Drosophila melanogaster: one gene and its partners. The protein of the gene in region 3 interacts with the protein of the main gene of each other region in a pairwise test. Each region holds a gene or a part of one and is shown on either strand. Other genes may lie near its edges. The genes, in order: Arf6, tum and pav.

Region 1 (10,978 bases), on a different chromosome or scaffold from region 3:
GTTTGCGAGGAATTCCGCGAAGTGGTCACTGCTGCCTGGGAAGAGGATCAACAGGTACAAGTTCTCAAGGAGCAGGAGAAGTACGAAACCCGCGTGTACGGAAACTGGAAGAAGCTGATCAAGGGTCTCCTCATTCGCGAGCGACTCAAGAAAAAATATAACTTTTGAATTCTTTGGCCTCTGATTTATGTTCGTATTATTGTTTCGTTTAAAGGCATTTTGATATTTTTGTATTTAAAACGTAATTTGATTCCAATAAATTGTACACTAGTTGTTTAGAATTCGTTTATTAATCGATTGTTTAAAAGTTCTTTTTTTTCGTAAATTTACATAGCATATTCGTTAACTTTACTTCGAATTTTTTGAATTAAATTTTAATTTACAAAATTATTTTGTTTTCAGAGTACGTTGAGAGATTTTTAAGATACAGAACGTTTGAGATAATAAGATTATGGTTATTTGGGTTATAGATCCGTCAATTTATTTGCATAAAATAGTATTTAGGCGCGATTTTAAATCTAAAATATAGTTTTTACAACAGCATGGAATGCATTAGCAGACTAGAGAAATAAAGCAATTTCCAGCCAAACAGCTCGCATTTGATCGTTTGGCAAAGGTGCAGATAAATATGTAATAAAATATAAATAAAACCTTAATTCAAAATAAGAAAGTACAAAATCCGTATACGTACAAAAAGAAGACTTTGGTTATGTATTCTGCCATTCACCTCTAGCAAGACAAATCTGAGCAATCGACTGAGTTTATGGTTACATCAAGAGCTGCACTTTCATGAAATGTTAAAACTTAAAGGAAAAGTTCGTGCATCGAGGGCATGGGGTTATCGTGGAGTCAAAGTTTCTTTTAATGCCAAGATGATAAAATTGTTTATTGTAATGGGTTTTTTGTTCTGTTGAATTGGAGAAGTTCTGCATAACACTCATCGAATATTTGTGAAATTTCAGTAACTCATACATAACGGTTGCCAAGCTGAGATGACACTAAGGTTTCATGGAAGCGGGGTAGGATTGCAAGTCTCTTAAGCAGGCATTGATGAAGTCAAGCTCGCGCCCGTGGAACCAGTGGAGACAGTCCCGCTGGGCGATCTCTGGCGCTGTGGGCTGCTTTGTGCCTTAAGGTAGTCCACGAACATACGCCTGGCCTGATTGAGAACCCGAGTGACGTCGTGTTTCCTCACCATTTTATCAAAGTGCATGGCAATCTCGTTGTAGTCCATGCCTGCCTTCATGATCGTGTTTCGGTGCTGTAGCAAAAGTGTTAGACAGAGAAACATGAGGAATGCATTACCTCCACCGAATTCTGTAGGTGGAGGCAATGCGGCCGCAGTGGTATTCACTGCACTGACTCCATTAAGATGGGTTGAACGCTGGGGGGATCGCGTATAGGCGCTCTCGTCATCTGCATTCGTGGCGATCTCCACCAAAGGCGAAACCTCCACTAGACTCGGCTCAGTGGAAATGGGCAGGATGACTTCGGGCAAACTGTTGCTGTTGCGCATTCCCAATGGACTGTGCCCATCCATAAGTTGGCTTTCGTCGATGAATGGATTAAAGGCATGCGACTCGTTTTGCTGAACGCTGTTACTCTTAGCCGCCAGTCGCTGTCGACGACGCATATGTAGCTCACTGACATCGGGACAGGTTATGATCTCGTTCTCCTTGAGATCCTCCACTAAGTCCAGGGCGTCCTTGTCCAGCTTCTCGTACTCGATGTCTTCCCGTTTCTCGCTCTCCGTAAAAGGCAGCCCAAAAACTTGTCGATCTAGATTCTCGGCCTCTAGGCGCAGCTCACGCGTTATGGCCGTCGTCATGGGGTAGTACTCCTGGTCGGGATCTTGATCCGGTGTGTTTGAATCGTCGGGGTCGCATGGGTGATTGCTTTCCAAATCTAGCTGTAGATTGTAACTGCTCAGTTCCTGTGCCTGCTGAATGGTCGTCGCAGCCGTTGAAGCGCTCCAACTGGTTTCCGGAAGTGAGGAAGAATCAGATTCGTCCAGGGAGCTACCCATCCCACTCTTGGTTAGCTGTACCACGGGCTTAGTAACCGAAATTGGACCGGATGTTTGTTGCGGCTGAGTGGCAAAACGATCGGATATACGATTCTTATTAATAGTTGCAAAATTTAGGAATTCATTGAAGTTTTTTACAAGCTTTGGCGGCATCTTCCGATCACCATCATCTTCTCCTTCTCCATCAAAAGAGATACCAATACGACTGCTTGCCGCCAGCTTTTCCTTGAGATCCTTAAAATGGCCACCACTAGAAGTGCTTACTCGCTTCATACTTTCACTCACTTGACTAGCATTAGTAGCTAGCTGTTTGGCGATGATATTGCTCACGGTCATAATGTTTTTGTGCTGCAGCTTGGCCTTCCTGTCACTGGGGTCCTCGTCCAGATTCGAGGAAGACGAACTACACAGAAAGGCTCGTCCTGGTGAAACAGGAGGTGTGGTTTCTCTTTCTGGTGCTCTCTGAGCATCATCCTTAAACGGATTTGTCTCCAAAAAGCTTGGCGACTCCTTCCTATCAAATACATCATCATCTTCGGTTTCCTCGCCGGCGGACAAGTTTTGTTCCAACTTGACATTCCTATTATCCAAAGCGCCCTCAATAAGCGCCAGCATTTTTGACTCGTCCAGACTTTGATGGACCTTGGCCGAAGTCCGTCTTTGGCGGCGAGCAGCGGCTGTCGCATGACGCGACATATTGTCGTCTAGGCTGTGATTCAGCCGTTTTGTATTGTCCAATCCGTGACTGGTTCCCACCGAAGAACTTAGTGAGCTCAAGGAGGCTGAAGAGCTCTGACGGCGCAAAGCGCATACCTTGGTGTAGGGACTTTCACGCGGTTTTGTCAGCAGATAGGAAGGACTGGTCGGCGTAGCGCTGTAGGAGCTGGAAAAAGTGCTGGCGCTATTGGGCACGGAGGCATCAGTAATGGGTACGAATTCCTGTGAAAAATCATGGTGATTAGAAATTAAGCAATTCCCTTTGGGTTTCGCACTAACCTTTTCAAAGAGCGCCAGCTCTTTCTCCCCATCACATCGATAACGAAGTGAACTCCACTGCACCTCCAGCATGCGAAGGGCATCCTCAAAAGGAAACTCCCGCTTTAGCTCCAGCAGTAGCCAACGGTAACAGAAAAGTAAGTCGTCCGCTTGCTGCGACTTGAGGTACTCCCAGAACTCAGGATCATAAAAACTTAGCGCCTCCGTTAGGTGAGCAAATTTCTGAGTCATTGCAATCCCATCCAGCATGAAGTTTCCACGCATACGTGACATTATCGCACAAAAGCAGATGTAGGCCTGTGCCTCGTCGTTCATGGTAACCAGTAGCGGGGAAGCAATGTCCGACATGCCTTGACAATATGAGACCGATGGATGGTTTAGTGCATATGTGGTGAGGATATTGAAAAGCGCAGCGATGTTCTGATTGTCGTCGCTGCCTGCATAAAATGGATGCAGGCGGTCCGTGCGGAGAACATCCTTCTTTACCATGCTCGTTACGTAAGCCAGTTCTCCAGCCACACTGCCTCGCTTCACGGCCGCTTTCCATGTGTCTCTCAGACGACAGTACTGCTCAGACTTTCGTCGCATGAATTCCATACGCTGGTGTCCATCAAGTGCCAGTCCGTTAGCGCCACCGGGATAAACGTTAAGCAGATGTTTCCACACAACGCGCCGCAGACTGGGGTCAATGCCTCCTAGGAAGATGACCCTATGCAACTCGTCCTTGCGTTGAATCTGACCAAGTGCGTCCAGAAAGAGCCGGAACTCGCTGTCGCACATGGGCGGCCGTGGCGGTAGATTGGCCATATGCTCCTCGGATAAGTTAAACGCTTTCTGCACTATGGAGAAGGTTTTCTCCATCTGATTCAGAATGGAGCTGCCCAGTTTGGTCTGCATGTGCTGGACATATTTCTGGGAGACTCCTAAGGACTGCAGTGGTGACATAAGCTCGCGGGCGGGTACAAAAGGTGCAGGAGTTGCGGGAGCAGGCGCTCCCGTTATGGATCTACCCGGGGAGGCCTCGGTCTCACACTCCCTGACCACCGTAAATGGCTTCACATCGATCTGCAGGGTGAGGCAGGGTTCTGAGGCCGTCTGAATGGAAATGTTGTGAATCCTCAGAAAGGCGGCATCCAGATCCCAGTCGGAGCGCACGGCCAGGTAGATCTCGTTGCCCGCCGGATCAAAGGCCTTGTACTTAATGGAGAAGTCCGACTTGACATCGAAGGCCTTGGCCAGCAGGGAGTACAACACCTCCAGCGTGGTGATCTGCGGGTCCACTGAAAACTTTCGCCACTCCGGCCGAGCAGTGGGTTCGCATTTCTGTGGGCGATTTCAAAAAAATTAGATTGAGGAACACAAACTAAGCAGCCCTTTTGTTGTCTCGCCTTCTGGCCACCTTTCACTTGCCTTCACTTTCACCCGAACCGCCTCCCGGGGGCAAATGCCAGCCATGTTTTCCGAGTCTGTTCTGGTCGACGACTAACTAAGTTCCATTGTACCTCTGAGCGATGTCAGTATCGTAAGTATTGCTCAAATATAAAACAATACAAAAGAAGGAAACTGAAATCAATCGACTTGATTTCAATCATCGGTTTCAGTGTGGCCGCCCTAGGGCTTTGTAAGTTCACCAGGGCTACATTAAAATACCAAATCACTAAATACACAAAACAAAAATTTTTAAAATTAAAAAAAATTAACAAATTGTTGAACGTACGAGGAGAATATATCAGCTACATTGTTTGCTAAATTAATATGAATAATAAATGAATATAAGAAAATAAATCTTTTTCAATTTTGAATTGCAAAAGTAATAACTTATTGGCCAAAAAATCACGATATCCCCGCCAGTCACCGTTTTTCATCTGATAAATTCAGTATTTTTGGTATTTATCCTCCGCATTCTTTGCATTTTTTAGCGTATTTTCTGGAATTCCCGAAGATCTTGTTCCGCTCTGCGCTAACGGGCACATTGCTTCGTGTATGTGTATATAAATACAAGAAGATTAGTGCAAAATTGTTGTTGTTAGTTATAGTTTTTTGGCCGCCGTGTGCTAGCAAATGCATTTTATGCCCCGGCCCGCGCACTTTGGCACTACATGTTAACGGATTTCAGGCTGGCGTGGAACGAATTGGGCTGGAAAGCGGTGCGTAACGGCGGTCGTCGGAGACTTGGGTGTGTATACATGTGTATGTGTGTTACGGGCGTGTTTGTGACGTAGGCAAGCAGCAGCGAGAGAGCGAGCGAAATTCCGTAGAATCCGAAAACCATCCGATATCGTTGCTCCCAAGCCGGCTTTACTGGGTCGTCGAGGGGTGCGGTGGCTGTTCAGGGGGCGGGGGTGGAGCGGTCGGATCCACCCGCCCATTCAGTGGAGCCAGCGATAAGCCCGCAATTGAGATAACTCTGCCTCAATTTGCGAGACACTATAGTGTGTTTATCTGTCCAATTGTACTTCCTATGTGTAAGCATGTGTGCGTGTGTTTGTGTGTGCGACTGTGTGCTGCAAGCTCTTCACTGATAAATTCTGCCTCTCCACTTTTTTCTCGCTTTTTAGCAACGAGCTGATGACAATGTAAGTGAAATTATTATGCAAAATAATGGTCTTAGCTTCCGCCGTCGTACAAGCTCTATATGGCCACCAAATTGCCTGTGCCCGCCGTATGTGTACATATGTAGCTACATTTGTATGTTCATATATCACTTACGCGCCTTCGCGCGACGGCGTTCTTATATCATAAATTGATATGTTAACTGCAAACTGTATTACAATGGCCCTATTATCTGGAAATTCACTGACCCTGCCCTGAATCTCGCCCAGCTATTCTTATCGATATGCTTATTTGGAAGACCTCGCCAACTCTACTCGAACTGTTTTTCAGATTGGCTAAGGTTTAATGGATGACACATCAGCACCATGGGAAAGTTACTATCAAAAATTTTCGGCAACAAGGAAATGCGAATTCTCATGCTCGGACTGGACGCGGCTGGAAAAACAAGTAAGCACATAAACAATAAAGGGTTCTCGAATTCGATTGTGGGCCTGATTAGTACCCATTAGTTTCATCAGTTTCCTAAGTGGAAACCAATCCCATTTAAAAAATACTCTTGAGGCGAGGCAATTATTGTTTTGTTTTTATTCTTATTGTACTTTGAAAAAATGTACAATATAAAGACCTTTCAATACGTACACCAGTACTATCACTAATCGAATTCGAGCTATTTTGTTTATACATCCTTTGCGTGTCTAAAGTAATATTGTTTTTGTCCACCCACAGCGATTCTGTACAAACTGAAACTTGGCCAATCTGTTACAACGATACCCACTGTGGGCTTTAATGTGGAAACCGTCACCTATAAGAATGTCAAGTTCAATGTGTGGGACGTCGGTGGGCAGGATAAGATTCGACCGCTATGGCGACACTATTACACGGGTACACAGGGTCTGATCTTCGTCGTGGATTGTGCGGATCGGGATCGGATAGACGAGGCGCGCACGGAGCTGCATAGGATAATTAACGATAGGGAGATGCGCGACGCCATCATACTGATATTTGCTAACAAGCAGGATCTGCCTGATGGTTAGTATAGTGCTCAGCCAATTGTTTCCATCCGCTTATTGTTCTCTCTTGCAGCAATGAAACCCCATGAAATCCAGGAAAAACTAGGTTTAACTAGAATAAGAGATCGCAATTGGTATGTACAACCATCATGTGCCACATCCGGCGATGGCCTGTCCGAGGGCCTCATTTGGTTAACGTCGAACCATAAGTTATGAGAATCGTAATCGAGCATTTTCTTATATGTATGTATATGGCATGTATTATTCGAAGCGAAGCAAAAGCGAAAATATTCTATTTTATTTATACAAAGAAAACCAACCGCAAGCGCATAGTAAAAACTCAATTCGTAAAAACGAACGTACATAAATTACAAATGTTAAAAATGGTATATAGAAGTCAGATATATATAGTAATTATATATACTCTCAATTAACCAACCAATATTCTCACTAGTAAAAATACACATACCTACAAAATAAAAGAAGCATCAAAATAAGCAGCCGGTAAATATCCGTAAAGTAAATTATGCGTGAAGCACAGAGACATAAAGCAAAACATCAACGGAGATTAGCCTTAAGTAAGTTTTTCTTGTAAATTATATTGATGAGACACGTAAGCAATAAGTTGAAAGCTTGTTTATTGCAACTGTTACTATATTTGACTTGAGCAAGGGTGTAACGAGTCTTAAATAAATTGTAAATAAATATTCAAATTAAAGCCCATATACAACAACAAACGAAATAAAAGAAAACACCGAACAAACAATTGAACAAACCTATAGATTGCTATTTAGATTAAAACTGAGTCTTCAAAATATAATGAAATAGTAACTGTGCCTTCCTCAATGTGTGTCTATGATCCCTCATTATTTTCCCCACTCCAACAGCTAATTTTCTCAATCTGATATCCTTCGAGACGAAGAAGGTCCCTGGATTTGCGAGAAAGGCATATTCTGACTTCAGTGTCAAACGCATTTGGTTTGTATTGTGCGCTCAATTTGAAAGGTAAACATGCCACATTCAGTGCCATAATTTGCAGGGTAAATGAGCCTGGGTATACCTGAGCATGATTTGTTCAACACGGCGTTCAATAATTTACCTTTGTTTTGCAATCATCCCCGAATTGTCCGAAAAACTCCTTGGTACATCCTTGCATGAATAATATAATTTATTTTTTGTGGGTGTATGTCTTGTTTTATACCTTTACCGTTTTTATCAAAACCAACCTATTCATAATACCCCGTAATATCTCAGTATCTAAGATTTTTGTTGCTGAATTATAATTATAAATTTTAAGTTATGAAACAAATCATAGGTTTCAAAGTTATTTTCTGTAAATATGTTTTTGTATTATTATTGTATTATAATAATAAAAATATATAATAATTAGTAGAGTCACGTTTTACAGATGAAAAGGTTGTGATGAAGATGACGAGTTCCCAAATAAACGTCATCTAGCGATCCACGAAGTGACGAAGCGCTTATTGCCAAGATAATCTTGTTAATATTCTCACATGAAGTGACACATCCTATGAAATTTGTATGTAGAATTAAACGATTCCGACTTAATAAAGTGTATATATTGTTAATATATATATTATTAGTCAGGATCAATAGCCGAGTCAATCTTTTCTGTGTGCAGAATCCCAGAGTGTAGTATTTCCTTGGTTTTGCGTCTCCTCAAGATGCGTGTTTGTTCTTTCCTTCGTTTGCGAGTTATCTCCAGGATCCGTGGTCTCCTTAATATTTGGTTCACGAAAACAGCAGGTATATGTTGGAAAAAACTATTTATTTTTTGTTTACGATTTTAAGACGATTAAGAAATTGGGGTATTAGAAGCGCCCATGATGTCCTCCATGGTGTCTGTGGTGTTCGCCAAAGCCGCCTTGTCCGCCACCGAAACCACCTTGACCGCCAAATCCTCCCGGTCCGCCACCGAAACCACCTTGACCGCCATATCCTCCCGGTCCGCCACCGAAACCACCTTGACCGCCATATTCTCCGGGTCCGCCACCGAAACCACCTTGTCCACCAAATCCAGGACCTCCACCGAATCCTCCCTGTCCACCAAAGCCGCCTTGTTGACCACCAAATCCTCCTTGACCACCAGGTCCAAATTGAGGTCTGGCCAAAACTGCGGCCACCAGGGCAAGAACAACAATCTATAAAATAGACGAACGTAAGATCCTTCTACTTTCTTTCACATAACCCAGCTAGCTTACCAGTAGTTTCATTTTGCTTTAAATTATTAAACTGAAATCCGCTCTGAAAGTGGCCTCTTTATATACCCGATCTGTAAGCGTGGACTTAACTATGTCTCGACTTTCAGATACCTATTAAGCGTAGTACACTTACGATTTGACAAACGTATGTAAGCAAATGTAAACTTACAATGTAATAATTGTTTCGATTATTTGTATTTAATTTATATAGCAGAGGCTGGAGATTTTTAAAGACTTTTTATTTTCAAAATTTATAAACAAATGTGCCAACCTTAAGCTATTTATTTATACTCTCACCAAAATACGATTACCCTGTAAAAAATTCAACATGTTGATAACAGAAACAGGAGGTCATTGTTTAGATGAAAACAAAACAGTCGAATTGTTAATCACAGACAGCGGAACCACCAATTAGGCAGAAAGTATTGTTTTTTTGCGTTATTATTTGATTTTCATTTTGGGCACGTGTGCGAACTTTTTATGTAAAAGAACCTATTTAAAAAATAATATAATAATATGATGTCTGGAAAAAAATTAAATTTAATAGACAGATTAACGGTTTAAAACCAGACTATGAGAAAATTCATATATAAATTTTAATTGTATTATTTACTTTAATATGTCTATGTCTATTTGGATAGTACAGATTATTGATTGGAGTGCCCTGTGAAAAAAATATACAAAAAATCTGTCAAAAAAGTCTTTGTTTTGTTAATATGTAACAAACAAAATGTTAATCTTACAAAGAGGAAATATACTCAATATACAAATATAGACAAAAGTTATATATTTCGATTTGGGAAAAAAGTAGTATAATTTAAGAATTGCTGTTGCTAAAAAAAAGACCGATTTTGAATTTCTAAAATGCATTTCTCGAATAACTTGCAGAGGTTTATAAAATAGATGTGTCATTTCTAAAAACACAATCTTAAGAACTTGACAAATTGAATAAACTATTTAATGTTGCTTTAATCGACTGGTACTGAGATTAGTTCGGGAAATCGAAGATTGATAATTATTGCGGAAGTTCAATAGAAAGTTGTAATGGTGCTTGTATTTTTGGCATATTGATGTCTATGTGTTTTAATTCCTAGTTTAATGTGAGCAATAACTATACCTTAAGAATTAAGTCAACTTTTTCGCAAGATTTAATTTTTTTTTTTTTTTAATTTACTTTGTTATACTTAAAGTTGCCGTTTTAGTAACGTCCATGATGTCCATGATGCTTGTGATGCTCGTGGTTACAGTTCTCGTGACCAATTCCGCCGGAGAATTCTCCCTGTACAAGTTGGGGGCCTGCTCCGAGCTCTCCTGCGGCATATAACTGGCCCGATTGGGGAGCTGGTCTTCGGTAGCCTCCCTGTCCGCCGCCGTATCCCAACTTTCCACTCTGAGGAGTGGCATTGCCATATCCTCCCAAACGTCCTTGGCCCGAGAGTCCAAGTGCGAATTCATTTGGGGGCACGGATGCGCCATATCCTTTCTGTGCACTGCCGTATCCACCCTGAGTGCCGCCGTATCCCACCTGTTCAGTCAATGGAGCGGGTTGGCCATATCCACCCTGAACGCCACCGTATCCTCCTTGCCCGCCACCGTATCCTCCCTGCCCGCCACCGTATCCTCCTTGCCCGCCACCGTATCCTCCCTGCCCGCCACCGTATCCTCCTTGCCCGCTCTGGGAAGCTGATCCGCCGTATCCGCTTGGCGAGCTGCCGTATCCACTTTGTCCGCTCTGTGGAACGGATCTCAAACCCCACTGGGCGGTTGCTGCTCCGTCGTATCCCGGTCTGGCCAAGGTAATGCCCATCAGGGCGAACAGGACAACCTAAAGGGTAAATAAATTGAGGATTATGTAAACTTCACTGACCATTAGCTTAATCACCATTAATTTCATCTTGATATTTTTTTTCGAACTGTAGTCAATGCCAAAGAGTGTCTTCTTTTATACCCAAGCTAGTGGGCATTGCGTTTCGACATTTAGTTACCTGTTATGGACTGTCATTGATTTTAATTCAGTTTATATTGTCATAGTAGATATCGATTGGGGGGTATCTTGCTTTTGAAAGGAAAGGCTTTTTTGATATATTTAAGCAATAACTTTTCCGGATCTCAACATTCCCCTATTCCAGAATCTAAATTGTAGGTACATCCGCTTAAGAAGCACACATTCC
Region 2 (10,119 bases), on a different chromosome or scaffold from region 3:
TGTTGCGATGACTCCGATGCCTCCAGGCACTATAAAAATCCACATGGCTCGAGAAGGATACGGGGAGGTATAGATTTCCATGAGATTGAATATTCTTCACGAAGGCAACGCTACACAGCGCACAATTTTCCAAAAAACATGCCTTCCAAACTCGAAAGCAACAAGACACAACCATGGAAGTCACCTAAGCACTTATTTTGTTTCGATTAGAAATAGGAGGATAATCGGGCTAGCAAGCCGACTGTCAAGTGGCCATACCATGTTTATACTAATGGATTACCACCTGACATGCGGACTAGCATACCTCATATACTAATGACAAATTATGGTAAATTGTTCATTTTCAAATTATCACGATTAAAGTTTTAATTGCGTAGAAACAACAGTTTTTCTTTTAGATAATATAAATGCAAAGCTGGCTGGGATTGATTAGGGTAGTATTTACTCGTTGGTAAACTTGGCAGGGCGCTTCTCGGCGAAAGCGGTCATGCCCTCCTTGCGATCGGCCTATTGGATGAAAGAAAATACAAGAGATTAAATAGTGTTAAGCAGATATTTAAACTTGAACTAACCGTGGAGAACGTGGCATGGAAGGTGCGACGCTCGAACTTCAGGCCCTCTTGGAGAGTGGTCTCGTAAGCCGTGTTAACCGCCTCCTTGCACAGCTGCACGATCAGATTGGAGTGGGTGCCGATCTTCTCGCCCAGCTTGACGGCCTCGCCCAATAACTGGTCGGCGGGCACCACCTTGCTGGCCAGACCCAGCTTCTCAGCCTCCTGGGCGCCGATCATATTGCCGGTGAGGCACATTTCCATGGCCTTGGACTTGCCAACGACGCGGGTCAGACGCTGGGTGCCACCGGCACCGGGAATGGTGCCCAGGGCAATTTCAGGCTGACCAAACTTGGCCTTGTCACCGGCATATATGATGTCGCACATCATGGCCAGCTCACAGCCACCGCCCAAGGCGTAACCATTCACGGCAGCAATGATGGGCTTCTGGGTGCGGGCCACCTCTGTCCAGTCGTTCAAGAAGTTGCCCTGGATGCACTGCGAGTAGGTGTTGCCCACCATCTCCTTAATATCAGCGCCAGCGGCGAAGGCCTTCTCGCTGCCCGTCAAAACGATGGCGGAGATGGTCTTATCCTTGCTGAATTGCTGCAATGCGGTGGACAGCTCCTTCATCAGGCCATTGCAGAGGGCATTCAGGGCCTTGGGGCGGTTCAGGGTGATCACGCCTACGTTCTTGCCCTCGCCGGCCACTTCGGTCTTGATGTACTCCCAGTTGTTGTTGGTGGCTGAAAAGAGATGGCATCATAAATGAGGTGATCGTATGTGCGCGAATGTTACGCAATCAATGTTTATTTGCCTGGAAAAGTACAAAAGATGTCGCCAAGAAACCGGCGGCACTTGATATCTTGATATTCCGGCTTAGGTTGGAGCTGGGCATCAATCGCGTGGACTTTGATCCCTCGCAATCAACCATCTACTTACAGGAGCTGCTGAAACGGGTGGCCACCTGTGGCTGACGGGCGGCTGCCTGCAGGACGCACTGGGCGCGGCTAGCGAAGATCTTAGCAATGTTGGCCATTTTCAATTGAAGGAACTCTGAGCCGGCTGCAAGTGCAATTCGTTATCTAATCTGTGGCGGTATCTGGCATGGAGCCACTCTAGAACTTGGGATACTTACGCTGCGAAGCACTGGAGCAATATTGGCGCACTAGTGGGGCAGGTGTGACCGCGTTCGCTCCCACCAGAAATGCCACTATTTCCAGTCACTGTTTCAGTCACAGTTTGGGTCGCAGCAACAAGTGGTTCTAGCATTACAGCTGTTAACGCAAAAGTATTGTTAACAGCCGAAATTAAAATGTGCAACCTAATAACACAATTATTATGTTCTTAAATCTGTTTTAATATATTTACAATATAATACTACTTCTCACGTTTTACTCTAAAAATAAATATACATTCGTATTTAAGCTTTTAATTTTTATGGAGAACTTGAAATAACATTATTTACATAAGATAAGCCTAGATAGTTTGAAATTAACAGTACTTTTTATCAACAACTTGGCTGGTAAATAAGTAAGTATGCGTGATCACATGTTTAGCTTTGTAAAAATTAATTCCTAGACCTTTGGTATTGAAGATGTCTGGGGAAGATTACTGCTGGTCTCCACCAGCCAAATGTGCTCCTCTCGTTGCCTTCTTGAGCCATTTTCTCGACGCACCCGCCAAATTAGAAACACCAATACCACGATTAGGAAGCAGAATATTACTATAACCAAGCTGAAAACATACGCTTGGGGTGCTAAAAGTAAATAAATTAGTATTAATGAAGAAACTTTTGATAAATACACAACTTACTTTCACAGTAAGGAAACTTCCTAGCCCACAATGCGTCCTGGCAAATGTTCTGGTTCTCGCCTTTCAGTCTGTGCTCCGCCGGGCAGTCGTAGTAGATACGGGTGCCATTGGCTACCCTTGATCCTACAGTGAGGATTGCATCTGTGAAGTGCTTAACCATAACGTTTGGCAGTTGGGGAACCACGCACTCCCCGTTCTCCTGAAGAGGATTTGGTCGTGACGCCTTCCTTGTTACAGGAACAGTGGGAGTTATCCTATGGATACTACTTTCCGTAGTTGTACTTGTCGTTGAACTGACTGTAGTCGTTGGTATGGTAACGCCCTCGCAAAGGGACTCCAGCTCATCGTCTCCATCTCGGCAGTCACGGATGCCATCACACAATTTGGAATAGGTCATGCATTGGCCAGAGGAGCAGTACATTTCCCAGTTGTCGCAGTTAGCCTGCTGCATCTGCGCCCGGCACAGCCAACCCTGCTCATCCGAACCATCCACGCAGTCCTGGACGCCATCGCAAACCGCTGTGCTGGCTATGCACGCACCGTAGCTGCAGCGAAATGCATAACCCGGACACCAGACCTTCTCACACATGGCGACCGTCTCATCGGAACCATCCAAGCAGTTGGCGCTCCCATCGCACAGCTGGTCCAGTTGGATACAGTCGCCTCCTCCACAGCGATGCCCGCAGCTTGTGGCATTTTGGGATCCCAAGCAAATGGTGACGGCTAAGGAGAGAAAAATCACCAGCTGAATTGAGAGATTCTGATGCGCTCCGAACATTCTAAATGGGTTCCAATCGACAGACTGACGGTTCCATGGCGCAGTTAAGGGTATTATTACGAGAGTTGTCCAAACCAGTTTGATGATGATACGGCTCTAGCTGTGCACAATTATCAGTCATGGGGTTTTCTGAGCGGCAGTCAGTATTTTCAATGACCGAGCTTATCACGTTTTTAGATAATCCTATCAAAGGGATATTCCAAAGTTGTATCGAGTTTGCCATTAGTTGTGATGCACGTTTTGTGGCGAAACATTCCCGTTTCCAAATCCAAATCCGGAAATGTTTAATATACTTTTGGTTACTAACATGCCTCCAATAATTTGCCATCAAGAATATAAAAAAGTAAGTTCACTAAACAGATTCAAAAATATTTGAACTTGAATAAAAACTTGTTATATTCTTTTATCGTTTATTTATATATTTGTTCATTGTTCTTATTGCTTTTCAAATGCATATTTTAGTTTATTTCTCTGGTGAGTATACTTATGTTAGTACGATAATAACGTGCTTTAGTTTATAATCGAACGCATAAATTATAAAGAAAAGCTTATGGTTGGGTTGGGTACAAATACAGCTCGGGGTTGGCTGGCCGGAAACAAAAAACTTGCAAAATACTTGAAGTAAACTTAAGTAACACGTCAAATGCTTTCCAACAAGGAAAGTCTCGTTATTTCTTGTGCGCAGATGCCGGCGGTGTGCCGTAAAACTTCCGCTTCTTAATGGTGCCTCCTTTGAAGGGAGTTGCTGTGAAGGAGAGATAATTAGAATAATTAAAAAAATTAGCTCATAAATAACTCACCATATAGCGAGAGTAAGTCATTTTTGTTGCTTGGCACCCGCTTGATAACTGTGGCCGGTGTTCTTGTCGGATCTATAACGATATATTGCTCCCAGAACGAAACGGGCAGCTCAAGAAGTGCCTTCATCACCTGCTTCTGGGTGAAAACTTCCGTGTAGATCGCATGCTGGTCGGGATCTGGTGTGGAGTAGCCCACAATGGTGGGGCCAAAGATGAGCGAGATGTTATCGATCGGCATTAGCACGACTGGGCACTGGGCAATTCGTTGGAAGTGCAGTATGAGGAAGGCCAGCGTATCCCTATTGGCCTGTGGTAGCTGCTTCACCGACTTAACCAACATATCCTGGGCAGTTTTGGTGTCAGGATTTTGGACTGCGTTTGCGAAATCCTTCCATTGGCTGGTGGGAATGAGAGGCTCTGTTAGGGACCTCAGGAAATCCTTGACACAACAGCACAGCACATAGATATCCGTGTTGCCCAAATGTGGAGTGGCCTTGCCTCGCAGGAACTGCTCCTTGAGGGCCTTGTACTCCCGCTCCGACGAGGACAATCGATAGAGGCCAACCTCGGTCAGGCCGCGGGCTTCAATCTCATTTACGCAGTGCACAATCAGTGCCGGGATCATGGGTGCAATAGATGGTGCAAAGTCCGTTACATAGCCAGTCATGGTCTTCGTCGTCGGTGTTCCCGTTTGCGGCACACAGCTAACGGTGAGCAGATACCGACAATCGATGTGACAGCGCACCGGGCAATCCCGACATCTCAGCCCAACGGCTCCAAACCGTATGCTGAAGAGTATAAAAAGTATTTAATTAATAAAAAAAACCTACTTGGAGCAGAACTTCTAGTAAGCTTACCGTTTCTGACACTGAACGCAATTGTCGCCACGCAAGAATGTCTTCTGACTGAAGGTGTGGTTCCTCATCAGTGGACGGTGCTGCAGTGGCGTTCCGGATTCAGCGACAACGTGAGGTGCCATAGCATTTACCGGCGTCAGCGGCGGTGCGGTGGCCTCTTTAAGCACCGATCGCCGTGGCGTCGAGGATAGTCCGTCGCCGATCCTCTCGTTGCCGGCAATTACAGGCAGCGACTCAATGGTCGACTCTGCACGAATCACGCCCTGTCCATCCTGGGGTATGGTGACCTTGGTGGTGGCACAAAAGCGCTCAGCGCCTTGACCCACGTCCACCGTGTGTTGCTCCACTCCGATTCCGACGCTAGAGCGCCGCGATTTGCCAGTGGTTGGTGTAGTCCCGGACATACTGCCATTCAGTCCAGTGCTCAATCGCGATCTCTTGTTGCCAACGCTAGGAATCTGGTTCTTGGGCAGCGAAGGACGATGCTCTCGCCAAGATTTTGATGTGCGCACATCGAGGAAGTCGTCCTCGGAGTGTGTAATAGACAAATCCGACAGCAACGATCCGGTGGAGTTGATGTCGCCATAGGACTTGTCCTCCCGCACGGCATTCAGGGACTTGCGCTTTCGCGACGAGGGCAGTGTGTGCAGAAAGGCCAGCTTGTCGCGGGTCTCGTTGTTCAGATTGCGCTCGTGTCGCAGCAGATCTGCCACAGCCATGATCTTGCTCTCCATGGCATCTCGTTCGTGTTCCGCCTGGCGGCGCGCCTTGATCTCCATGTCGATGATGCGGCGTGCGTGAAAGAGTTTGCCCTCCAGGTCGCCCATTTTGGTCAACGACTTGTCCAGCTCGTTTTGTATCCTGGCCGTCTCGGCCGCGTAGCCCGCGCACTTTTCGTGGTACTGCTCGAACATGCGCAAGAACCGCAGGAACTCTAAATGGAATACAAGCATCATGTAGGGCTTCATTTGCCTTGCGTGTTTTCAGTTTTACTCACCCTCCTCAGGAGTTCCATCGGTAAGCACTTGCATGCAGCGTCGCAGATCATCGAAGGACGCCAATGCGGAGAGCGCCATTTTTGCTTGTCTCGGTAGTTCTACGAATCGGTTTTCACTCGCAGGGACTGCCTGCACACTGGTTTCCTTGATTCAACTTCGAAATCTACTGAAAATCAGTAGTATTTACCCAAAAACGAGTGGCAAACGGAGCACGCTGCAAAAGACGCGCTGAATTTTTTCAAGTTCCGTTGTTTTCAAATTGACGCCATCTGCGCAGTGTGACCATTAATGGGTGGCTCGAAATAACAGTAGGGTAGTCATGCTAACAGAAAATATCGATCTGATCGTGTTAGAGATGATAGAGATTGTTTCAAGTTAACAATTCTTTCGGAATTAAATAAAAAATAATTTAATGTTATCCTATTAATACTTTTGAAATGATTATATTAATAATAATATAATTACAATATTTTTTTTTATTTACAATATGTCTTATATAAATTCTTATTCACATAAGCTACCATCACTAATATTTATTCCGACCCGAGTAGTGTTGCTAAACGAATCACAGTCTCGATTTTGTTTGAAAAATGTCTGTCCACTCACCCAATCCTGGCTTAATCCTCCAGAGCAAGCGTTTCAATGGACTGCGGAACATCCTGGAACGCGAAGGTCCCTTCTGCAAGGACGGTTTCGCGGCCTCGTCGGAAAACCTGGAGTTCTTGCAGACCAAGTGCCAGGTTCTGATCATCGGAGCCGGTGGCCTGGGCTGCGAACTGCTGAAGGATCTGGCTCTGATGGGCTTCGGCAACCTGCACGTCATCGACATGGACACCATCGAGCTGTCCAACCTGAATCGCCAGTTTCTGTTCCGTCGCACAGACATTGGCGCCTCCAAGGCGGAGTGTGCGGCTCGCTTCATCAACGCAAGAGTGCCTACTTGCCGGGTGACGCCGCATTTCAAGAAAATCCAGGACTTCGATGAGTCCTTCTATCAGCAGTTCCACCTGGTTGTCTGTGGCCTAGACTCCATTGTCGCCCGGCGTTGGATCAATGGCATGCTGCTATCAATGCTGCGATATGAGGAGGACGGCACCATAGATACCAGCTCCATAGTGCCCATGATTGATGGCGGCACCGAGGGCTTCAAGGGGAACGCACGCGTCATCCTGCCCGGTTTCACGGCCTGCATTGAGTGCACGCTGGACCTGTTCCCGCCGCAGGTCAACTATCCCCTATGCACCATAGCAAATACTCCCAGGCTTCCGGAGCATTGCATTGAGTACGTAAAGATCATACAGTGGGAGAAACAGAATCCGTTTGGAGTGCCCCTCGATGGGGACGATCCCCAGCACATTGGTTGGATCTACGAACGGGCACTGGAGCGGTCCAATGAGTTTAACATCACCGGAGTGACCTATCGCTTGGTCCAGGGCGTTGTCAAGCACATCATTCCAGCTGTGGCCAGTACCAATGCAGCCATTGCCGCCGCCTGTGCTTTGGAGGTCTTTAAGTTGGCCACCAGCTGCTATGACAGCATGGCAAACTACCTGAACTTCAACGACCTGGACGGAATCTATACCTACACCTACGAGGCCGAGAAGTCGGAAAACTGCTTGGCGTGCAGCAATACACCGCAGCCGTTGCCGATTGAGGATCCCAACACCACCACGCTGGAGGATGTGATAAAGCTATTGTGTGATTCCCCGCGTTTCCAGCTGAAAAGCCCAGCCTTGACCACTGTGATGAAGGACGGCAAGCGGCGGACTTTGTACATGTCCGGGGTAAAGAGCATTGAAGAGGCCACCCGAAAGAACCTTACTCAGAGCCTGGGCGAACTGGGTCTACACGATGGACAGCAGCTCACAGTCACCGATGCCACCTCGCCGTCCGCCATGACTCTGCAGCTGAAGTATCAGTCCAATGAGGTGGAGATGGTCTAAAGTGTATCACAGTAGATAACAATTTTAATACACAAGTCGTATATGTAAATAAACAGCAGGCTTAGCCTCGAGTTACGCATCTAAATGCTCATATCCAGTATGTACTTCTTGCCGGTGAATCCCTTGAAGCTCAAGGCAGCGGCCGCCGCGTCTTTGAACTTTGCCAAGGGCACCATCTCATGGTTGGGGGCCACGAACTTTCCCTGCTCCATCAGCTCGAAGATCTCCTTGAACATTTTCGAACGCTCTGGTGAACTGTAGTTCTCCTTGGACCAGCGAGTCATCCAGAAGCCTCTAAATGCAATGTCCTTGAAAATGAGGGGTCCAGTGGCCACTGTGACGGGTTCGCGGGACATTCCGCCGTAGGTGACCAGCACTCCGCCATTGTCTAGATGACGCGACACCTCCGTGGCGCTTTTTCCGCCCACACAGTTGAAGGCCAGACGGGGCTTTTTCAACTTGCCCGACTTGAAGATGTCACTGGTGCGAATTTCGGCCTCTGTTAGGACCTCGGTGGCTCCCAGGCACTGCAGCATCTGCTTCAATTCGGCAATTTCTGGGCGGTCGCGTACAATGCCAACGCTATTGATGCCCCAGGCTCGGCACAATTGGTGCACTGCCTGGCCGACGGCGCTATTGGCGCCGTTTTGGATGACCGTGTCACCCGGACAGAGCTGCACAAAGTCCTTTAGCATTCGGTAGGCAGTGGTGGGATTCACTGTCGAGGTGGCGGCCTCCGCCAAGCCAACCTTCTTGGACACGATCAATAGTTGATCCTCCTTGTAGACGGCATGGGTGGTCCAGGTGCCCAGGCCACTGGCCAAGGGAATGACGTGCTGTCCTGCCTCAAAGCCTTTGACTTTGTCGCCCACGCAGATGACCTCCGCCACACACTCATTGCCGCCAACGGCTGGAAACTTGGGCTTCACCGGGTATTTACCTGTAAAGGATTTATAATAATCATTATCAAAGTGACTTTAAACAAGCTAGGCTTCTTTAAAATTTAAAGCCACAACCTTGAGCATCGTTCAAAGTACAAAGATGTACTGATAACATTCGTTTAACTTTAAATGGATTACTTCTGATTATCCCATAACTGACTTTCAAGCAAGTGGGTATACTTAGAATACAAGTATCTCTGATCTTCAGTTCTTATCCAGTTGTTTCAGCAGAAGATTATCGTTATTAATTATGCAGTTCATGCCGGTTATGGCTATATTTCAGTTGTATCATGCATAATATATGTTTGTTTGTGATATATCCTAATGGCCAGCATACCCTGAATGGTGTTTATGTCCGCCGGGTTAATGGGAGCTGCCAGAATCTTCACCAGCACCTGGTTGTCCTTGGGATCGGGAAGTTTGTCCTCCACCAGTTGCAGAACCTCCTGTGGTTCGCCGTGCTGTGTGTACTTCAAGGACTTGGCCACCACCGACATTTGGCGGCTCCATTGGGCTGCGTTGATGCGAGATAAAAAGCCTCGGCGCAACATTTGTTAGTAGTAGTTATGATTTTTGACCATCAAAAGAGTAAAACGAAAATTATTATGCAGGTTAGTATGACCGTCGCTACATTGCTGCCAACTTGAATTTTAATGACGCCAAAGAGATTTATAATGTTATTTGCTGGTATTTTTGGCTAAGCGACAAACGGTCGCCGTGTTTTCTCCAAATTTCAGGTGTCTCAAATCGATTTTTTAAACAAAACCTCGAAAAATACTCAAAAACTGAATTGACCGGTGATAAAATGGACGCGTAAGCAAACAAATGTTAAAATTCCTAGCTTAATGTTGCATAACAATTGCGTACTCTTGCAGTTTACAAGACGAAGTGGAGTCGCTGGAAGCCATCCTAATGGACGATGTTTGCATTAAACGCACACCCAGGTAAGTAAAACAATACAATATATGTTTTCGATACTACAGCGAGTATTGCAATTCCCGAGAAGCGGCGAGGTGGAGCAGATCGAGACCACGGTGCTGCCCCTGACCGGTGAGGAGGAGGAGCAGCAGTACGTGTGCGTTACCCTGCAGGTGCATCCAACACCTGGCTATCCGGAGGAGAGCCCCACATTCAAGCTGCTGCGTCCGCGTGGATTGGACGATGCCCGCCTGGAGGCAATCCGAAGCGCGTGCAACGCCAAGATCAAGGAGTCAATTGGTTTTCCGGTCGTTTTCGACCTCATCGAGGTGGTGCGAGAGCATCTCAGTGGCAGCAATCTGCCCAGTGGCCAGTGCGTTGTCTGTTTGTATGGATTCGCTGATGGCGACGAGTTCACACGCACCGAGTGCTTCCACTACCTGCACAGCTATTGCCTGGCTCGGCATCTCAATGCCCTACGTCGCAACTACCAGGAGGAGTTCGATAAATTGCCTGCC
Region 3 (11,347 bases):
GACCAGTTGCACTGGAGCTGCCCGAACGGACGTTTACACAAACACCAACTCGAATGATTACCCCAGTCTGGCTCCAACCACGTCTGGTTCGTCCACATCCGGGGGAAGCTGTCAACAGGATCAGGAGGAGAATGTGAGTGCATCCGTCTCGTATAGCTCGGTGGGATCGCAGACCTCTCAGGAAAGTGGTTGCAGTCGCACCACTGCCATCAATCCAACAGCTGCCTGCTCCACCGGATCGGCCTGCTTGGGTGACTCTCAGGCCTCGACATCGGCTTCTACCTCGTCCGGAGCCGGAGCGTCCAACCGTTGCCAGTATGCCACTACATCGACGACAAAGGCAGCTCGCCAGGTTAATGCCAGCGCCCAAACCCAGGAGCGTTTCCTGACTCGCAGCAATCCTCCAGCTGCTAGTGGAGCGGGGTCGGTTGGGGCAAACCCGACAGCATCTGTTCGGCAACGGCGAAACGGTTCCAGCGATGTTGTCCACCTGGAAGTGGTGGTGGAAGAGGGAGCTGGCGGAGGGGACGGCGGCGTGGTGGAGCCCGGCGACTTTAGTGCCGAGGAACCTTGGGCCAACTGCGATGAGGAGAACAACTGTTCCGATCTGGAGGAGATTTGCACATGCCAGAACGGTAACGGAAGCAGCTACGGCGGAAGCAATGCCAGTCTCAGCGAGACTTTCGACATGGACGCCATGGATCCCGATGAGCCCATTTCCTTGTCGCTGTCCTCTGCCTCAGCTGGCTTCACCGAATACTCGCTGACCAATCCCAGCTCGCTAATGTCTCATCAGCGCAAACGAAAGTTCAACGAGGGACGTCTGCTGGATGGCGGCGACTACTCGGTGACTATATCTTCCAGCGGCGAAGTGGGCGGACCGGGTTCAGGTGTGAGCGATAATTGCCGCAAGCGGATTGCCTATGATTTTGCATCTACGCCGCGCTCCTCGCAACATTTGGGACCCACGGCAGTGCTATCGGTGACGCCCTCATCGCATCTGACTAGCTCCACGCCGGGATCGGCTTTGGGTCGTCGCACCCCACGTTCCGTGCCGTCTCGTGACAATCCGCCACCAGAGCTGCAGCACTGGTTGGCACAATTCCAACGATGGTCCCATGTCGAGCGATTGCTGGCCCTGGACCGTCTCATCGATCACTGCGATCCGTCTCAGGTGCGGCACATGATGAAGGTGATTGAGCCGCAGTTCCAGCGGGACTTCATCTCCCTGCTGCCAAGAGAGCTAGCCCTCTTTGTGCTCTCGTACTTGGAGCCCAAAGACTTGCTGAGGGCAGCGCAGACCTGCCGCAGCTGGCGCTTCCTGTGCGACGACAATCTGTTGTGGAAGGAGAAGTGCCGCAAAGCCCAGATCCTCGCCGAGCCGCGTAGTGATCGCCCGAAACGGGGACGCGATGGCAACATGCCGCCAATTGCTTCGCCCTGGAAGGCCGCCTACATGCGTCAGCACATCATCGAAATGAACTGGCGGTCGCGACCTGTGCGCAAGCCCAAGGTACTCAAGGGCCACGACGATCATGTGATTACGTGCCTGCAGTTCTCTGGCAATCGCATTGTGTCCGGCTCCGATGACAATACACTTAAAGTATGGTCAGCGGTGAACGGAAAGGTGAGTAAATCGAACAAGCAATCATTTAATGTTTCCCTGCTAACGAGATATCTTTCTCAACAACTGTAGTGCCTGCGCACTTTGGTTGGTCACACCGGTGGTGTTTGGTCTTCCCAAATGTCCGGAAATATCATCATTTCAGGCAGCACGGATCGCACGCTCAAAGTCTGGGACATGGACAGCGGCGCATGTGTGCACACACTTCAGGGGCATACGTCCACTGTGCGGTGTATGCATTTGCATGGCAGCAAGTAAGTTAAAACCACACACAACTATCCACTAACCAATGCTGATTGTTGACGAATTTCTCAACAGAGTGGTCAGTGGCTCGCGAGACGCAACCTTGAGGGTTTGGGACATTGAACAAGGCTCCTGTCTGCACGTTTTGGTTGGTCACTTGGCTGCTGTGCGTTGTGTGCAGTACGATGGGAAGCTGATTGTGTCCGGAGCGTATGATTATATGGTGAAGATCTGGCATCCGGAGCGCCAGGAGTGCCTGCACACACTGCAGGGCCACACAAATCGCGTCTACTCGCTGCAGGTAAGATAGTCAACACTTCTTTGTCGGACTTTGCCGTAAACCATTCTAAATTTCACACAGTTTGATGGCCTGCATGTGGTATCGGGTTCATTGGACACCTCTATTCGCGTGTGGGACGTGGAGACGGGCAATTGCAAGCACACCCTGATGGGTCATCAGAGTTTGACCTCTGGCATGGAACTGCGTCAAAACATTCTTGTCTCGGGCAACGCCGACTCGACAGTCAAGGTGTGGGACATCACAACCGGACAATGTCTGCAAACGCTGTCGGGTAAGTTTGAATCCTCCGTGTTTACTTTTCACTAACATGCTGTAAAAGATCCACTACTAATCTGGTACTCCTTAAATCCCCTTTAGGTCCAAATAAGCATCATTCTGCGGTCACCTGCCTGCAATTTAACTCCCGATTTGTGGTGACCAGTTCCGACGATGGCACCGTGAAATTGTGGGACGTTAAGACGGGCGACTTTATACGTAATCTTGTGGCTCTGGACTCTGGTGGATCCGGCGGCGTTGTGTGGCGGATTAGGTAAGTCCAAGACGATATAAATCCGCTCATTATAAATGTAATTAACTATATCTAAAAACTTTTCAGAGCAAACGACACTAAACTCATTTGTGCCGTCGGTTCCCGCAACGGAACGGAGGAAACAAAGCTAATGGTCCTCGACTTTGATGTTGAGGGTGCATGTGTGAAGTGCTCATAGGAGACGGTGGGGCACTTCCGGTGGAGCCTACGCCGCCGTCTCGCTTGGATTCAGGCGGTGAACGGTCAGGGACGGGGCAGCTAGTATACAGCTTCAAGCGAGATTTCATTGCAAACTCATCCAAACACAGAAAAGCACACACAGACAGATGCCGCGGATGTGAGGGTCCGCAACGTAATGTTGAATGCCTTGCCAACAAAACGCAACTGCTCACATACACCACACACACCATTAACACCACACACACCGTAACACACACACAAAAAACATTAAACAATTAAGGGAAAGAAGAGTAGGGTAGTCGGGTGGTCGGGGTGTGGCTGTGGCTGTGAGTGTATATTGTTAATAATACCCTTTTAAATTACGTTGCTTCATAGCCAAAATTCGTTTTCCACCGTAGAATAATTTCGCTTCTTAGTTTTTATTGCTATTGTGTATATGGCAAGAATCGATTACCTTAATGATAATATTATGATTATGATTACGTATTATAAAGCGCAGATTTACAACTGCAGATGCAAATAATTGTTTCGCGTCGTGTGAACCTGAGAGAGCGTTTATGAGAACAGAGCTTTATATTGATTAAATTGTAATTTGTTTAAATGAAATTTGGATAAGATGGATATGTTAATATTGGCCCACCACTTGAGTTGAGTTTGCCGCCTATTATGTTTACATTTGTGGTTTTGTTTCGTCTCGTCCAACTTGTTTTGTTTAATTGTACTTGAACGGGTATGTACCTAAATTCTATTATCACGTTCTGATTGTTTCCCTTTTACATTTGATTTGATTCATTTGTCGTGCAGTAGCATTAGCGATATTGGCTTCCAATTCCAAATTCGAAATTCCTCATTTGCCAGGAACCTGCCACATTTGCCGCACATAGCGTTTAAGAGTCATCTGCCGAACTCATCGAGCAGCAACTCACACCCACGAAACAGCAACTGCAACATGAACACTGCAACACAACAACACTCACACACGTGAAATCATTAAGCGAACATATATTTTAATTATAGACTGATTTATTAGTAATTGAAATTAATCTACAAATATGTATGTGTAATGGTACCGTATGTATTTCAATAAAATTTATCGGTTTAAGCATAAATCTGAATAAACGCAGGAATAATAATAAAAATAGTTAAAACCATCTATGTGCCACATGTTATTGCTTCACGGAACTCTGGGAGCTTTGCAGCCAGAAAATCTAAAATTGATAAAAACCAAATTGATCACTTTCAGTATATGCGCGTAATTCACTTTATTTGTTCATTTTGTGACTGGACTGGAGTTGGGTTCACTCCGAAAAACAATAAAATATTTAATACTTTATAATAACACTAGAGTAGTTCTATGATTGGACGATGCTTGGATAGTTTCTAACAACTGCTCTTGGCAGATACCCTCCGGGTACCGACTATTTGGAGCAGGAAACATTTCCATTTGCGAGGGGTTGCGAATTCATTTACGGGATTATTTATACAGATTAACTTTTCTTTAATCAAACAAATCACTTCAATGCGATTCAACTCCAAAAACCGAAGTGGGTGAGTAATAAACTTAAATTTAAGTTATGGAAACTAAGTAACTATGAACTAAATGGGTAATTGACTTTGAGAATTCCACGCTGAGTCATTTTTAGATTTTCGACTTCTTGCTGCTGTGTCCCTCAATGCCGAGATTGCAGCGGGAGGCTACGTCCTGGGCTGAGGTGACCGTGCTGGGCACTGCACCGCCGCCCAGAGCCGAAATGTTGCCATTGCTGGGTCGCTTTCGCGTGGGCGAGTGAACCGGTGACTTCTGCTTGAGGCACTCCACATCGTTGAACACAACTTGGGCACCACCGCCACAAGTGGGAATTACATTGCCCTTATACAGCTTCGTCTCCACATCGCCATCCGTATCCGCATCCTGCGAGACGAGACAGTACTTCGTAGTTCCGTGAGCAGTCAACTCCTTCAAGTCGGTTAGTTTCGTTACGGATTTGCGATTCTTCAGATACGGCTGCATAATAGTGCCAAGCGGAACGGGATTAGCTGCCCGATGCTCCAGCCACTTGTCGCCTGCGGATCGAGAGCGTCTATGCCGATTGTTGGCCGCTGCTGCACCCTGTTGGGATATAAAATTATCAATAGATATTGCAATATTCTAGGATTAATCATACACTTACATGACGTGGCGTTGCATATATATCTGTTCGTGTAGCTGGCACCGAGGACTCCTCCGTGCGCGCCGTATATGCACCGCGATCTTTCTCATTAAGTATGTTTTCCGAGCTCTGTGACCGCGGCAAACTGGGCAGATCTTCGGACTGCAGAATGTTGGAGACCAATCGCAACTTCTCGTCCTTGATGCGCATGCGTTCCTGCAATTTCACTCGCTGTTCACGCAGCTTTAGTTCAAACTCTCGCTTATTTTTGTCCGACTCAACGGCCAGCTTGGAGCTGAACTTCTTCTTTTGCTTTTCCTTCTCGTGCTCCTTTTGGGTGAGCATATTCTCCTTCTCGTTCAGCTTGAAAGTCAGCTCTTCAATCTGCCGTTCTTGCTTGCTTAGCGTATTGTTAAGCACGTCAATGGAGCTCTCGTGGATGCGAACCTTCTTCTCGAGTGCCGCACTGCGATCGCGCTCCTGCTTGTAAACAGCCTTTAAGGAGGCGAGCTCCGTGCGCAGCTGAAGATTGTCGCGGTCAAGGTTCATCAGCATCTGCCGGAAGCTGTCACCTGAAAGTTGTGGAATTAGTATTTCAATGTTAAGATTAAGAAAGTGACGTCTTACATTTAATGTCCAAGTTGGCACGCAGCTTCTTTCGCTTTTCTATGCGCTGCTCCAGATAATGCATTAGCTCGCGGATTTTGATCTGTGCCTCGGGACTGTCCATTTCGTAGGCGGGAAAATCGGGTCCCAAACTGTACACCAAACCCACGTCCACCTCCAAATCCTTGGCCTCAGGAATGCCCAGCTCGTTTAGATTATTAACGGCAATCTTGAACAGCTTGTTGGCCTTGCGACGGCCGGGAGTCAGACCCAAATCTTGCTTCATAGGAGTCGCCCGAGCAATTTGCACCTCCTGGGTCATCTCGGCGAACTTCATCACTTGCTAAACGGGATAAATAAATTTTAGGGACCAGAGTACATTGTTGTCAGAAAAATAGTTTACCATATTCTCATCATAGTCCTCAATTCTTGGGTTGATGCACACAATCATGGACACCTGGCCTTCGCCATCGAAGTAGTTTTTAAACATGTGTGTGATCTTGGAGTCTCGATAGGGGACCTTCTTGGGTGCCAATCCATTGCTAGCCGCGAGTTGGTTCTCGCGCAGATATTCCAGGCAAGTGCGCAGCGTCATCAGCGAATTATTGATGTTGCCCGCCTCACGGAGTCGCACACCGGTGTTCTTGGTCCTTGAGGATCGCTCACTGCCCGCCAGATCCACCAGGGACAGTTGACTCACTGTGATGTTTTGCCGGTCCTGAACCACATTCTCACCCTGGCTATCAGTGGGCGCCTGCACCAAGCGTATATTGAACACCGAGTGACTCCTACTGGATTCTGCATTGAGAACAGTGTGTCCCATTCGTTTGCGCTTCTGGCCCATTTGAAAGACCTCGAGGGCGTCCTCCACGGTCTTGACCTCCACCTCTGTGACGCCGTGGACGAACATGTGTCGATTGGCATCTTCACGAATGATTTTGCTCTGCAAAGTCCTGTCGGGTCAAGAATACAGTTAGATTTCTTTAAATGTAATGCTTAATAAATACTTACTTCTGTATACCCGAGTCCTCAAGGAGGTCGTAGACGCTGTTATTGTAAATTTCAATATAGGTGACAAACACCGAGTACATGTTGTCCTCATCCAAACCCAGCAGCGGAATTGGCTCCACGGAGGCCTGGGATGCAATTTCCGGATCCGAGTCCTTGTGCCTGAAGGCAAATCGTCCTGAGCCAGCAAAACGCTGGTTCATCTCGTGTTGGCGCTCCAAAAGCGCATCCTCTTCGGACAGGATCTCGAAGCCATTAAGCTTGTCCGGCTTGAAGACGAACTTCTTGGCCTGGTAATCTGAAATGGTGCGAAAGAGCACGTCCAGGCAGCGCGGCATGATGCCGCGGTGTCGCAGGTTGCCGGTCATGGTGTACGTTTTTCCACTTCCAGTCACGCCGTAGGTGAAAAGCAGACTGTTTCGGCCTTTCAGTAGGTTCTCCACCAACGGCTGGGCCACAGCTGCGTACACATCCTGCTGCGTGGCATCCGGCTGGAAAACGTGCTTGAATATGTACTGAACCTCGCGCTGGGCGCCGTTGTGTGGCTTGTGATGCTGCAGCAGCTGATCCTGCGGATTCAGTGCGATCGTCGTGGAGTTCTTGACCCTTAGGGAGGTGAGATCTGCGTCGGATTGTAGTGGCCGCACTCGACAGAACACATTCACTGGATCCCTGGCCTTGTCGGAGGTGTCTCGTCGCTGTTTCTCCACCGTTTGATGCACCCGCGGAGTTTTCGGGACGACACGCATCGGCGTCCTGGGTCTGCAAATGGGTATTCTCATTGATGGAGTTGTTCTTTCGGGAACTGTCATATCACTTACACTGCCTTCATGTTGTCAGCTCGTTTTTGCAACTAATTTGATATACGGGAGTTGGGTTTCTTCTTGTTTTGTTGCTGGAATCGATCTCTCTTTTAGTTCGTTACCTTCAAATTTACAGCGCCAAGCGACGCCACGCTTGGTTTTAGAGTGACCGAACTTTAGAAAGCGGTTAATGCTGCAAATACCATCCCCTGCTCCAATATATACTTGATACATACTGAAACCGAGGCTATGTACAGTGCGTGCCATTTGAATAGGTTAAAATATTTAGATATACTAGATTTTAAACTAATTTAATACTTTTATTTATGATCTCACATACCAAATTAAAAGTACAATGTTTATAAATTAGTATGATATTAAGGTATGGAATGGTTATGATGATGCCAAATATTCTTTTAAAATTAATTAAAGATCATTTGAGGTCCCTATTGCTTTTTATTAAACTTTAGCACTGAGAAAATTTTCCGCATTAGTGCCGGTCCGTTCCAGTAGCCGTTCATCATCAGCTTCCAGTAGAGCACCGGCATCAGCTCCTTCTTCATAAAGAACATGGAGTACCTCTCCTTGGACTGGTCCAATGGAAAGGTCTCCACGGGGGTGAGGTTGTAATCAAACTCAGCCAGGATGCAGGAGCTGTAGCCGGTGACGATGGGGCAGGACGAGTATCCATCGTAGATATCCGTTGGGGCTTTGCCCTCGATCGCCGCCATTACGTTTTTGAACACAACCGGTGATTGGGCGGCTGGAGGTGAAAAATCAATTGAATATTCTGATCAGGATTCCCAACCCATTTACCTGCCGCCGCGGCCGTCTTCGAGTTGGGACTGGACGCCGAATCGCCGATGGCGAACACGTTGCTGTACTTGTTGTGCTGCAGCGTCAACTGGTCGACGTCCACAAAGCCAGTGGGGGTTACCAGTTTCTTGCAGTTGGCCACCACATCCGGAGTGCTCATCGGCGGAGTCACATGAAGCATGGAGTACTGAGAAAGATATAATACTTATATAAGTTTAATTTCATGGCCTTCAATTCTCCTATTTCTGCAATACTATACGACTTTAAAATTGATCTTAGTTAACCTACTCTTCATATTTCTCGCTTTAAGTAGAAAGATATAGTTCTAGGATCTAGATCTAGATCTATATAGTATCTAGAATACCCAATTAATTGACCAGCACTTACCGTTTCCTCATAGTGAACTCCTGGTTTGGCGAGATCCTCGAACACGGCTATATTATCTTTATGTCTCACTTCAACGAGATTTCTTTGAACATTAAGCGTGATATTTCTCCTCTTGATCAGTTTCATCAGGGCCTCTGCGTAATGCTTAACACCAAAAATCACGGGAAGCGATGTATTGTAGATGATATTGACGTTGTCGCGACGACCCATCTGAAAAGGGTTTCAAATTGAAGTTGTTTGCCAGATATTCTATCTAAATGATGCACACCTTCCTAAAGTAGTGCTCAGATATATAGGCGATTTTCTGCGGTGCACCTGCACACTTAATGGGACAATTGGGAAACGTGAATATAGCATTTCCTTTGTTGGTCCTGCGCAGACATTCGTACACATGATCCACGTACTTGGGCGAGTAGATGGAGCAAACATTACTGTCGGGGGTCTCCAGGGCCTCCACCAGGCCAGGTATCTATGGATATGTGGATATGGATATTAGCAACTATTAAACGTACTGATACCCTACGTACCTTTCCATAATTGAGCTGCAGTCCGGTGGCGATGATCAGGAAGTCGTACTTGATGGTCTTGCCACCAGAAGTGCTAACCGTATTATTATCCGGATCGAACTCCAGCGCCTTCTCCTTCACCCATTTGGCCTTTGTGGGCAGCACATCGGCCATTTGGCGGTGGCTCTGATCCAATCTCTTCATACCACCTCCTATTAGGGTGAACATGGGTTGGTAGTAATGTTTCTATGGGGAATTATCGCGCTATGTCATAATGGATTATTTACTGCCTTTGGGCTTACTCACATCTTCCGGTTCCAGGACGACCACCTTGTCGCTGCCCAAACGTGAGGACAACTTGGCGGCCATGGCACACCCACCGGTGCCACCGCCCACAACCAGCACTTGGCATCTGGAAAAAATAGGATTTACTTAATTGCTGGAATATACAATGACAGACACCTCAAGGGAGATTAGTACAGTCGCATGACCACACCCACCATCAGTGCCATCTAACCATGGCCAACAAGTTATCTCTTCGTTATCGCCATTAATTAGTTACTAGCCTAAACATACTAATTCAATTTGTTTTGGTAGATATAGATATAGATTTGCCATGCCATTTGTTTCGCGGAAAATGTCATAAACTTTCGCAGCTATATAAACAAACTTACTCTTGCCGCTCGCGGTTCACTCGAGATGTGGACAGGAATCTGGTGGAGAAGGCCGTTGGAGCATGGTTGTGGGTGGCTAGGAGAAGCTTCTGGCACTGGCTGATGGTTCCTGGAAGGCGACGGTTCATCGCAACAGCTGGATGATCTTCGATCCCTCAATCTGCGTTAAAGAAAAACAAAACGGACTGCAAGTGCCCACAACCGATTGAAGACTGGCAAAAAAGAGCTTTCAATGGGGGGTTATCAAACCGGCTGCACTGGCAAAAAGTTTGGTCTATTTCAAATTTAGAAAAAACTTTAGAAATTTAAAAAATGCCGAAGATGCTTAGGCGGCACTGTGTAGTGCTTCCCAACATTTCGACCGGCTATCAAGGAAAACAAAACGAGTGTGGGAAAATTTGTCAGTGAAATCGAACATAACAACTGATTTTGAACACAAGTAAATAACACATTAGAAATTGTTAGAATTGTTTTAAGCGTACTAATTTGGAAAAAGTGTCAGGCTTCTAAAAATGTGGTATTTCTTAATTTCGCCCGTCGGCCATAAAAATCAGAGTGTACGTGGCTGAAAACCAGTTTTTATGTGGTAATAAAAATGGGGAAAACGCAACAGGTTGCACTGTAGTTTTCGGATGGGTGTATTCATAGCTTAACCTTGAAAGATGGCAAAAGCTTTTCAGCATGCTTTTGTACTCAGCTGTTTAAAGCTCATTTGGTGCTAAATAATCCAAAGCTCTAAAGTGCGCGAATGCTCGAAGCACTTAAATACTATCTACAGTGGATTTTGCCTACAGACAACACATGACATCATGCCTTAAAATACGAGGACTTAATTCTGAGAACAGCAAAGAATTGTGTGCTTATCGGGGCTCAATAAATAAAACAATCTGTAGGTGGCGCGTGTGCTCGGACCACTTGCTTTGTGTCTACAGTGGAACCCGGCGATAAGCGACCCATGAGATCATGCCCTTAAATACGGCTCCTCAGCGCTAACAAAGTATCATTTATTTGCCTGCTTATCGGGGCTAACAAGCGTTTTATTTGCCTTCTTAGTGCATCGGTTTATATTTATGGTATACCTCCAGGGGCAACCTTATCGAGTTTGAAGAATTTGAGTTGCATTTGCTGGTAACTGGCCATTACACTGTAAAAATATACGCATGCTTTCTAAAGGATAAACAAAAAAAAAAAACGCCGAAAAACTCGCATATTTTTATAATCAGGCATGTGGTTAAGTAACTGGTTTAATTTAAAATTGAATATTTTCACATTTGATTTGATTACTTGCGAGTCTTATCAAGCAATTCCTATAATATGTGGACATTAAATAAATGGTCAATTAATAGATTGCACAGACTCTAATCAGAATATGAAGGTCACCAATAAATCTTATTAATAAACTGCAGCGGTCATCTACTCATATACGTCAAACTCTAAATCAAGTTTTAAAAATTGCAACTAATATAAATTAAATGATTTTTGCAATTTTTCAGATGTTGATAACAATTTAATTCCATATT

The links.
Region 1: the proteins of pav (region 3) and Arf6 interact in a two-hybrid assay, tested with the Drosophila melanogaster proteins (one study listed by BioGRID).
Region 2: the proteins of pav (region 3) and tum interact in a two-hybrid assay, tested with the Drosophila melanogaster proteins (3 studies listed by BioGRID).

Annotation. Positions count from the first base shown.
Region 1 is NT_033778.4:15,317,544-15,328,521, forward strand, and holds Arf6 (ADP ribosylation factor 6), read left to right. Parts: upstream 1-4,957; 5' UTR 4,958-5,169; exon of another isoform or gene 5,170-5,198; intron 5,199-5,259; exon of another isoform or gene 5,260-5,487; intron 5,488-5,580; 5' UTR 5,581-5,598; intron 5,599-5,905; 5' UTR 5,906-5,940; coding exon 5,941-6,022; intron 6,023-6,301; coding exon 6,302-6,604; intron 6,605-6,658; coding exon 6,659-6,801; 3' UTR 6,802-7,947; downstream 7,948-10,978. Other genes in the region: Xpc (xeroderma pigmentosum, complementation group C), read left to right, coding at 1-168; CG8155 (uncharacterized protein), read right to left, coding at 1,037-2,965, 3,023-4,345, 4,433-4,477; CG8157 (uncharacterized protein), read right to left, coding at 8,418-8,747, 8,808-8,819; CG8160 (uncharacterized protein), read right to left, coding at 10,006-10,632, 10,690-10,701. UniProt on the Drosophila melanogaster protein: GTP-binding protein involved in protein trafficking; may modulate vesicle budding and uncoating within the Golgi apparatus. Promotes cell movement and remodeling of the actin cytoskeleton during compound eye morphogenesis.
Region 2 is NT_033778.4:13,852,609-13,862,727, forward strand, and holds tum (tumbleweed), read right to left. Parts: upstream 6,082-10,119; 5' UTR 5,878-6,081; coding exon 5,799-5,877; intron 5,736-5,798; coding exon 4,802-5,735; intron 4,733-4,801; coding exon 3,945-4,732; intron 3,890-3,944; coding exon 3,813-3,889; 3' UTR 3,542-3,812; downstream 1-3,541. Other genes in the region: CG30485 (uncharacterized protein), read left to right, coding at 1-210; Echs1 (Enoyl-CoA hydratase, short chain 1), read right to left, coding at 442-507, 573-1,297, 1,494-1,590; CG6553 (uncharacterized protein), read right to left, coding at 2,129-2,310, 2,367-3,144; Uba3 (Ubiquitin-like activating enzyme 3), read left to right, coding at 6,390-7,742; CG16935 (uncharacterized protein), read right to left, coding at 7,823-8,682, 9,021-9,234; CG13344 (uncharacterized protein), read left to right, coding at 9,489-9,496, 9,559-9,627, 9,690-10,119.
Region 3 is NT_037436.4:4,239,004-4,250,350, reverse strand, and holds pav (pavarotti), read right to left. Parts: upstream 7,618-11,347; 5' UTR 7,474-7,617; coding exon 7,463-7,473; intron 7,404-7,462; coding exon 6,645-7,403; intron 6,587-6,644; coding exon 6,037-6,586; intron 5,977-6,036; coding exon 5,655-5,976; intron 5,600-5,654; coding exon 5,049-5,599; intron 4,988-5,048; coding exon 4,517-4,987; 3' UTR 4,118-4,516; downstream 1-4,117. Other genes in the region: ago (archipelago), read left to right, coding at 1-1,627, 1,697-1,878, 1,943-2,168, 2,229-2,439, 2,526-2,697, 2,764-2,875; Sqor (sulfide quinone oxidoreductase), read right to left, coding at 7,891-8,207, 8,261-8,447, 8,648-8,857, 8,916-9,116, 9,175-9,399, 9,460-9,565, 9,828-9,955.